2 linked regions of the Callithrix jacchus genome follow. The protein of the gene in region 1 interacts with the protein of each later gene in a biochemical or structural test. Links are inferred from orthologs where the notes say so. Each region holds a gene or a part of one and is shown on either strand. Other genes may lie near its edges.

What was found.
Region 2: the proteins of SPI1 (region 1) and MECP2 form a complex in vitro, tested with the Homo sapiens proteins (2 studies listed by BioGRID). The link is inferred for Callithrix jacchus from reciprocal best matches to the Homo sapiens genes SPI1 and MECP2.

The regions. Positions count from the first base shown.
Region 1 is NC_133511.1:112,413,057-112,416,859, reverse strand, and holds the end of SPI1 (transcription factor PU.1), read left to right. Parts: intron 1-455; coding exon 456-618; intron 619-2,916; coding exon 2,917-3,236; 3' UTR 3,237-3,615; downstream 3,616-3,803. UniProt on the Homo sapiens protein: Pioneer transcription factor, which controls hematopoietic cell fate by decompacting stem cell heterochromatin and allowing other transcription factors to enter otherwise inaccessible genomic sites.
Region 2 is NC_133524.1:150,008,416-150,012,742, reverse strand, and holds the start of MECP2 (methyl-CpG-binding protein 2), read left to right. Parts: upstream 1-1,446; 5' UTR 1,447-1,479; coding exon 1,480-1,538; intron 1,539-2,009; exon of another isoform or gene 2,010-2,170; intron 2,171-4,327. UniProt on the Homo sapiens protein: Chromosomal protein that binds to methylated DNA. It can bind specifically to a single methyl-CpG pair. It is not influenced by sequences flanking the methyl-CpGs.

The sequences.
Region 1 (3,803 bases):
AGTGACTTCTGCTGACCTCTACCACCCCTACTGACCTCCAGGGTCCCTCCATTCACTCATCACACTGCCTATCAAACACCCTTCCAGACCCAACACACTGGCCCCCAGCACACCCACTTCTGACCCCAGCCCATTGTGGGGTCACACAGCACCTCCACCAGGAGGAGAATCAGGCACTGCAGCCCTGAACTGGGAGGCTCAGCTGGGAGTGCTGGGTGGGCTGGACGTCGGCACCCCTCGCCCCACAGCCTGCATTCCGTGTGCAGCACCTGGACTGGCCCCCACTTTTCCCTGGCTGTCCCACGCTTTTCCCTGGCTGTCCCCTAGTCTCCTGTTGCCTGCCATCATCCTCTGCCCTCTGCACTCCCTCTTCTCTCCCCAGCTGACCTCCCTCCCAGCCCACTGAGCTGTAAGCTGGCCCTTTCTGACTCCAATCTACTTCTCCCACCATCCAGGTCCCTTATGTGCCCCGGATGTGCCTCCCGTACCCGTCCCTGTCCCCGGCCCAGCCCAGCTCTGATGAGGAGGAGGGCGAGCGACAGAGCCCCCCACTGGAGGTGTCTGACGGCGAGGTGGACGGCCTGGAGCCCGGGCCTGGGCTCCTGCCCGGGGAGACAGGTGGGGTGCCTGGCCCTCCACCCCAGCCCCGCCCCTGGCTGTGTCTGTGCCCTGCCCCCACCCAGCCAGGCTAACTGACCCAGCAGCCATGCCACCGAGTGTATGTGTGTGTGTGTGTGTGCCATGTTTGCCAATGTGTGTGTTTTGTGGGGCTGTCTGTGGCTGTCTCTATGTGTGTGTGGGTATCTGCTGTGAGTGCATGCAGGCATCTTCATGAAGTGTGCCAGGTGTGGGTGTCTCTCTGTGCCCCGAGTATGTGTGGATCTGGGTGTGAGCAAGTGTGTGTGAACAGGTATGGGCAGGTGAATGTGTGTGAGTGGCCGTGAGTGGGTGTGTGTGAAGGTGAATGTGAGAGCTGGTGTGGATGAGAGTGGGTGTGGGCATGTTTGTGTGTGTGTCAGCATATGAATGCATTTCAGTGTGTGTGTGCATGTGTGTGAGGTGTGCAGGTATCACATGAGTGGCTGTCAGCAGTGTGTGTGCATGTGTGAGCATGGTGTGTGTGAGTGGGTGTGTGAGCAGGTGTGTGTAATATGTGTGAGTGGAGGTGTGGGAGGTGTGTTGTGTGAGCATGTGTGTGAGCAAGTATGTATATGTGAATGTGTATATGAGCGGGGGCATGTGTGATATGAGTGTGAATGGTTATGAGTGTGGGAGCAGGTGTGTGTAAGTGGATGTGAGTGGGTGTGAACATGCTTGTGTATGTAAGCAGGTTCAAGTGTGAGCAGGAAGGTGTGAGCTGGGGTGTGTGAGCATGTATGTGTATATGTGAGGTTTGCACATGTATCTGAGTGGATGTGTTTTAGCAGGTGTGAGCATGTATGAGTTCTTGTGTGTGAGGGGGTGAGGGCATGTTTGAGCATCTGCGTGTGTGTGTGGTATGCATGTGAGTGGGTGTGTGAACAGGTGTGACAGTAGGTGTGTTGAGTGTGTGTGAGAATAGGTGTGAGTGGGCTGGGTGCAGTAGCTCACACCTGTAATCCTAGGCACTTTGGGAGGCCAAGGCAGGTGGATCACCTGAGGTCACATGTTTGAGGCCAGCCTGGCCAACACAGCGAAACCGTCTCTACTAAAAATACAAAAATTAGCCAGGCGTGGTGGTGCATGCCTGTAATCCCAACTACTTGGGAGGCTGAGGCAGGAGAATCGCTTGAACGTGGGAGGCAGAGGTTGCAGTGAGCCGAAATCGTGCAATTGCACTCCAGCCTGGGCAACAGAGCAAAACTCCATCTCAAAAAAAAAAAAAAGGAATGGATATGAGTGGGTGTGATGTTCGAGTGTGTGAGCAGGTGTGTGTGAGCATGCATGAATATGCATGTGTGTGAGCAGCTGTGAGTGGGTGTGTGAGCAGTGTGTGTGAGCAGGTTTATGTGTTGGCAAGTATGAGCATTTGAGTGTGCAAGTGGGTGCCCGAGTTGTTGTGTGAGCATGTGTGTAAGCATGCAGGTGGGTGTGGGTGTCAGAATGGATGTATGAGCAGAATGTGCATGCATATGTGAGCAGATGTGAGGTGCAAGTGTGTGAGTGGTGTGGTGAGGTGTGAATGTGTGAATGAGCTGGTGTGAGCGTGTGTAACCACATGTGTGAGCAGGTGAGGTGTGAGCAGGCATGTATGAGGTGTGAGCGTGTGGTGTGAGCATGTGTGTGCAGGTATGAGTGAATAGGTGTGTGTGTAATATGTGAGCATGTGTGTGAGGTGTGAGCTTGTGAGTGGGTACGAATGTGAGATGTGAGCATGTGTGTGAGCATGAGTGTGTGTGAGACCTGGTGTGAGCTGTGTGGGCAGGTGTGTTTATAAACAGGTGAGGTGAGTGTGACCGTGGGTGTGAGCAGGTGTGAGCAGGTGAGTGGGTGTGTGCGTGTGAATGGTGTGAGGTATATGAGGATGTGTGTGAGCAGGTGTGAGTGGGTATGGGGCATGAGAAAGTATAAGGTGTGTGTTATGTGGGTGTGTGAGCATGTGTAGGTGTGTGTTGCGTTGTGTGGGTGTGTGTGGTGGTGCAAGGTGTGAGTGCATGTGTGGTTGTCGGTGGGTGTGAACGAGGTGTGTGAGCAGGTGAGTGGGTACACGGTGTGGGTACATGTTTGGGAGTGAGTGTGAACGGGTGTGTGCGAGCAGGTGTGTGTGTGTGCATTAGTGTGGATGCGTTGTGTGTGTACACCCGGCGCGGGCTGGGGTAGCCATTTCCCTGCCTTTCCCGGCCACCTCCGTTCCCGGGTCCCCGTGCGTGCGCGTGGCGGTGGGGGCGGCTCCTGCGTGGGCCCCAGGCCCCCTCCCACCGGGCCCTCCCACCGCAGGCAGCAAGAAGAAGATCCGCTTGTACCAGTTCCTGCTGGACCTGCTCCGCAGCGGAGACATGAAGGACAGCATCTGGTGGGTGGATAAGGACAAGGGCACCTTCCAGTTCTCGTCCAAGCATAAGGAGGCACTGGCGCACCGCTGGGGCATCCAGAAGGGCAACCGCAAGAAGATGACCTACCAGAAGATGGCGCGCGCGCTGCGCAACTACGGCAAGACGGGGGAGGTCAAGAAGGTGAAGAAGAAGCTCACCTACCAGTTCAGCGGCGAAGTGCTGGGCCGCGGGGGCCTGGCCGAGCGGCGCCACCCGCCCCATTGAGCCCGCAGCCCCCGCCGGGCCCCGCCAGGCCTCCCCGCTGGCCATAGCATTAAGCCCTCGCCCGGCCCGGACACAGGGAGGACGCTCCCGGGGCCCAGAGGCAGGACTGTGGCGGGCCGGGCCTCGCCTCACCCGCCCACTACCCCCCCCAGCCCCTCCCTACAGCCCGCTTCGCCCCCCTCCGGGACTCCGCCCCGGCTGCAGGAGGCCACCTGGGCCTCGGAGGCCACCTGGGCCGCAGACCCCACGGGGCAACCTTGCTGAGGACGACCCGGGGTACTTCCTTGGGAATCTCAAGTGCCTGTGTAAATCAGACCTCCCTCACCCCTCCCACCCATTAACCTCCTCCCTGAAAACAAGTAAAGTTATTATCAGTCCATCCTTTGCAGCACAGAGAGTCTCCTTTAAAACTTGCCGTGTACCTCGTGTGCTGTGGCGTCTTTTTTTGTCATTTGTCCATCGGGTGTTTACTGAGGACTGTACCCAATGCTGAACCCTGGGGACGTCAGGACCAGTGACACACAGCGCCTGACCAGGTGTCAGAGTTTGGTGAAAAGAACAAGTCCT
Region 2 (4,327 bases), on another chromosome or scaffold:
CATCTCAAAAAAAAAAAAAAAAAAAAAAAAAGAATAAACTCCCAATTCTCATAGTGGCCCCGGCTGCCTCTCCAATCACATTCCCTACCACTTTCCAGCAACATTGACCTCCTTGTTAGTCCCCAACATGCCAGGCATAGTCTCTCCTCATGGCCTTTGAACTTGCCTGGAATGTTCTTTCCCCAGATATTCATAAGGGGGAGGAAAATGAGGGTGAAAACCAGTAGCTATCTAAACAGCATTCCCTTCACTCTTACTTTCTTTCTTGAAGCCTTTATCACTATGTGAAATTACATATTAGACTTATTTGTATGCTAGTATGACTCTCCCGGCAAGAATGTTAGTCTGCTGTCTGTTCAGTACTGTGCACCCAGAACCTGGAAGAGTGCCTGGCACATAGCAGGTAGTCAATAAATGAATGGGGGCAGGCAGCCAAATCAGAACCAGGTTTTCTTGCTAAGCACAGAACTAACACAAAGATCATTGCATGGATTGGATAATGACTGGCACCAGGGTAAGGTCCCCTTAACAAACATCCCTGTCCTGAACGCCTGGTTGGCTAACACTTTTTCTATACTCTTATTTTCCCAAAACACAGTTGCTGGATCTCAACTGCAAATCAACTCTTCTAGGAAAGTGAAAAACTGCTGGATCTCAGCTCCCAAATCACATCTTCCAGGAAGACCTAAGTGCAGCTTTCTCTGCGCTCCTTATTCACACCTCCACCAAACCATCTGATCCAACAATGACAGGTGTCACGAGGCCTTGGCATGCACTCTCTTCCCCCGCCAGAGTTCTGCGAAGGCCAGGGTTGGGATTTGTCGTCAGTTTATTCCCCGCCCCTATGAGCGTAAGCACCCGGCAGGCTCAGATGAAATAATGCAACGAGTAGGCCTCTGAAACCAAGGCCCCTCAGCTGGAGCAACGTCAGGCTCCAGGGCGGACAACTTTGCTGCTTCTGCTGAAGATGGTGATATTGAGAAAATGCGGGTGCAATGCAACCCTTTTGCAGCGCACTCGATGCATCTGCGGACAGAGGGTTTGCTTGGGACGCAAACAACGTCCCAAGCCTACACCTTCACTTGCCCCAGCATCCGCAAGGGCCCATTAATCCTTAACATTCAAATTCCGCCCACTAAACCCCTCCGCGCCCAAGCCGCCTCTTTTCCCCAAACGACGGCCGAAAGCAGCCAATGAACAGCTAGAGGGGTCTGCCCTCTTTTCCCTGGCCGAAATGGACAGAAAATCTCGCCAATTGACGACATCACCGCTGAGACTCCCCGCCCCAACCCGGCCGCCCCAGCCAATGACGGGTGGGCTCGCAGCTGCGCCGGGGGCGGGGCGCGGGCGCGCAGGTGCAGCAGCGCGCGGGCCGGCCGGGAGGGCGGGGCGCGACGTCGGCCGTGCGGGGTCCCGGCGTCGGCGGCGCGCGCGCTCCCTCCTCTCGGAGAGAGGGCTGTGGTAAAAGCCGTCCGGAAAATGGCCGCCGCCGCCGCCGCGCCGAGCGGAGGAGGAGGAGGAGGCGAGGAGGAGAGACTGTGAGTGGGACCGCCGTGGCCGCGGGCGGGGACCCTTGCTGGGGGGCGGGGGACAGGGGCGGGACGTGGCGCGGGAGGGGCCCGCGGGGTCGGACGACACGGCTGGCGGATGGCGTCCCTCCTCTGTACCCTCCCCCTCCCTCCGCCGGTGGCGACTCTCCCCCTCGGCCCGTCACCCGTGCTCGCGGGTGACCGTCCTCGGCGCGGCCTCCCCGGAGCCTCCTTCGCCTGGCGCACCTCTTTCTCCCGCCCTCTGCGCGCATCCCGGCCCCCGGCCCCCGGCCCCGCGGGCGCCGCTGTCGCCGGGGCTTCGCCTGTCGGGGCTGCGCGCGCTCCTGCCCTTTTCGGGGCTTTGGGCCGCGGCGTCGTCGCGCGCCCGCGGCCCCGGTCTCTCCCTGGATCGCGCTCTCCCCTCTCCCTCCCTCGCGCGCCCCCTCTCCCGTTACTCGGCCCCCCCACCGGCGCGCGTGCGCACTTCGCCTCCCGTCGGGAGAGTGCGCCACAAGGGCTCCTGCGCTCTCACCCCCATCTCCGGGCTTTGCCTCCCCCTCCTTCTCGCCCATTCCATGAATTTCTGCCCCCACTGCGAGCGAGTCGGTCCGCCGGCTCCTTTCCCCATCTAGCAGGAACAAGTAGGTGGGGATTATTGTCCACAAAAGGGACTAGACATTGTGTTCTGGGTCCCACAACTCATCATAAAGGGGTGGTTATAGTTCCCATCAGGAGCCGTGGGTAGGGTGCTGTGCGTCCAGCAGCACCCGAGGCTCTTCGGCGCCTGAGGCTCTTAGGTGTGAGCGTGTCCTCAGGGTGCTCAGAGGTTCTTTGGGGGTGCTGTGGCCTCGGAATGTGAGCACCCTCCCATCCTACCCCCCCTTCGCCGGCGATCTTCCAGTTACATAAGTGGAGTGGGACATAGTAGGTAACGGGCTCTCATCGCCCTGGAGCGCTCCGGATCACCGGTACGAGATGGGGCAAGTTTATCGCGACGCTGTGGCTACTGTTCATTGTGCCCGAAAGGTTATTCTCTGTTGAGTTTGGTTATGACCGAATCACCCAAACTGAAACTCAGATGACTTTTGTGTGGCAGTGGCAATGTTTCTGTGGTTTTGCACTAAAGACTTAGGGTCATTATGAAGAGTTTAAAAGGATTGCTCTCGAAGGGGAGACCGTTTATGACATTGATAAGTATGGACCCCGAGGGGGAAAAAGCTCATTCTGGAATTGCTCTGTGGGGGTTGCTTCTGTTGTGAGTGTGTTCGGGTGTGGGTTGGTCACAGCAGAAATGGGCTCCACCACAAAATTGATATTCCTGACTCATGGTCAGGCAGATGTGTGCTTCTGGTTATTTTTCCAGGAACAAGAATGGGCTCTGCCGAGCCTTTCACAGGTTGTCTGTATGCTGTGTGGGATCAGTACCCCAAACTGTTGAGATAACAGGATCGAATTCAGGGCTTGGTTGGTAATCGAGGAACCAAACCTACTTGGATCTGGTATTGAGTGGCCTGAACATTGAAGGGCTCTTCTAAGTTATAGGCATTTTGTTATACTGTAAAAATGAAGTATATACGGCCTCGGTAGTATCATTGCAGTCATAGATAATTATCACTCTAGAGAATTTTGGATTCCGTGCCTGGGATGTTCATCTGTGTCTCAGCAATTTCAGTTAATAACCAGAGTCAGCTGACCTCTTGGGTCTTTTGAAATATGCTAGGTCCCTATAATAAGACAGGGTCTGGATTTTTTCATCTTTTGGGAATTTCCACCAAGGATTTAGGAAAATAGGCTTATTTATGGGCTTTTCAGGATTTCTGTTTCAAATCCCAGTCAGGAGTCTAGGAAACACTTGCTTTTATTTTCTTACCTGGATATGTCAGAACCTTAAATAACACAGTCAATCTAGAAGTAGTAAGTACGGTTATTAAAATAAGTCACCAGAGGTCACCCATTCGTGGCAGGTCAGCTAGGTGGCTGATCACTGGAATACAGTCACATCCCCAGGCAGACACACAAGCCTCACTTGATGATCACAGAGTTTGTACATCTCAGCTTGAGACATGACAAGTTAAGGTCTCTGCTTTGTTCTTCATAGTTGGCAGTTTGTCTCCCTGGTACCCCTCCAGTTAGCTGTTTGTCACACGCCTAGCCCTTTCAACAGCACAGGCAGCTTCCAGAGTATAGTTTTCTCTGCAGGGTGCCTGTTGGAGGGGTACCTCCCTTTCCATTGTCCTAACGGCTTGAAGAAAATGTCGAAGGCTTTCTTGTTAGCACTGGCCTATCAAACCTTTCTATTGCCTGTTATTAAAATTTTGCCTGGAATACTTTAGAGTACCGGGTCTTTGTTTCACCTGATTGGTAGGAGAGTATCATGCAGTCAGCCGTATTCTGACTTTTGTGCTGTTGAAATCCTGAGGTAGGTCTGGGGCCAGGCACAGACCACTGTGTGTTCAAAGAGTTAGGGTGCTTGCATTCTGTGTGTATGTGTTTGTGATTTCCAACGAGTCATTTCCCGTGCCTGCCCTGCCTCTGTGCAGTCTCATCTATCGGGGCAGGGAGGCATGCTGTGGAGTTTGGGAAAAAAAAAAAAAAAAAACTGGCTAGATGAATTTAGGATGTTGTCCCTCCAGAACATTCCTCCCATGTGGAGATGGAACGAGAAGTTCATTTCTTTAACCTTACTGGAGCCCGGTTTCCACTGCAAATGTGCCTGCTTGGAACTCTGCATGATAAATGACGTGTCCTGGAACCTGAAATCTTTTACTAAGGCTAATATCAGCAGAAATCTTTTAATT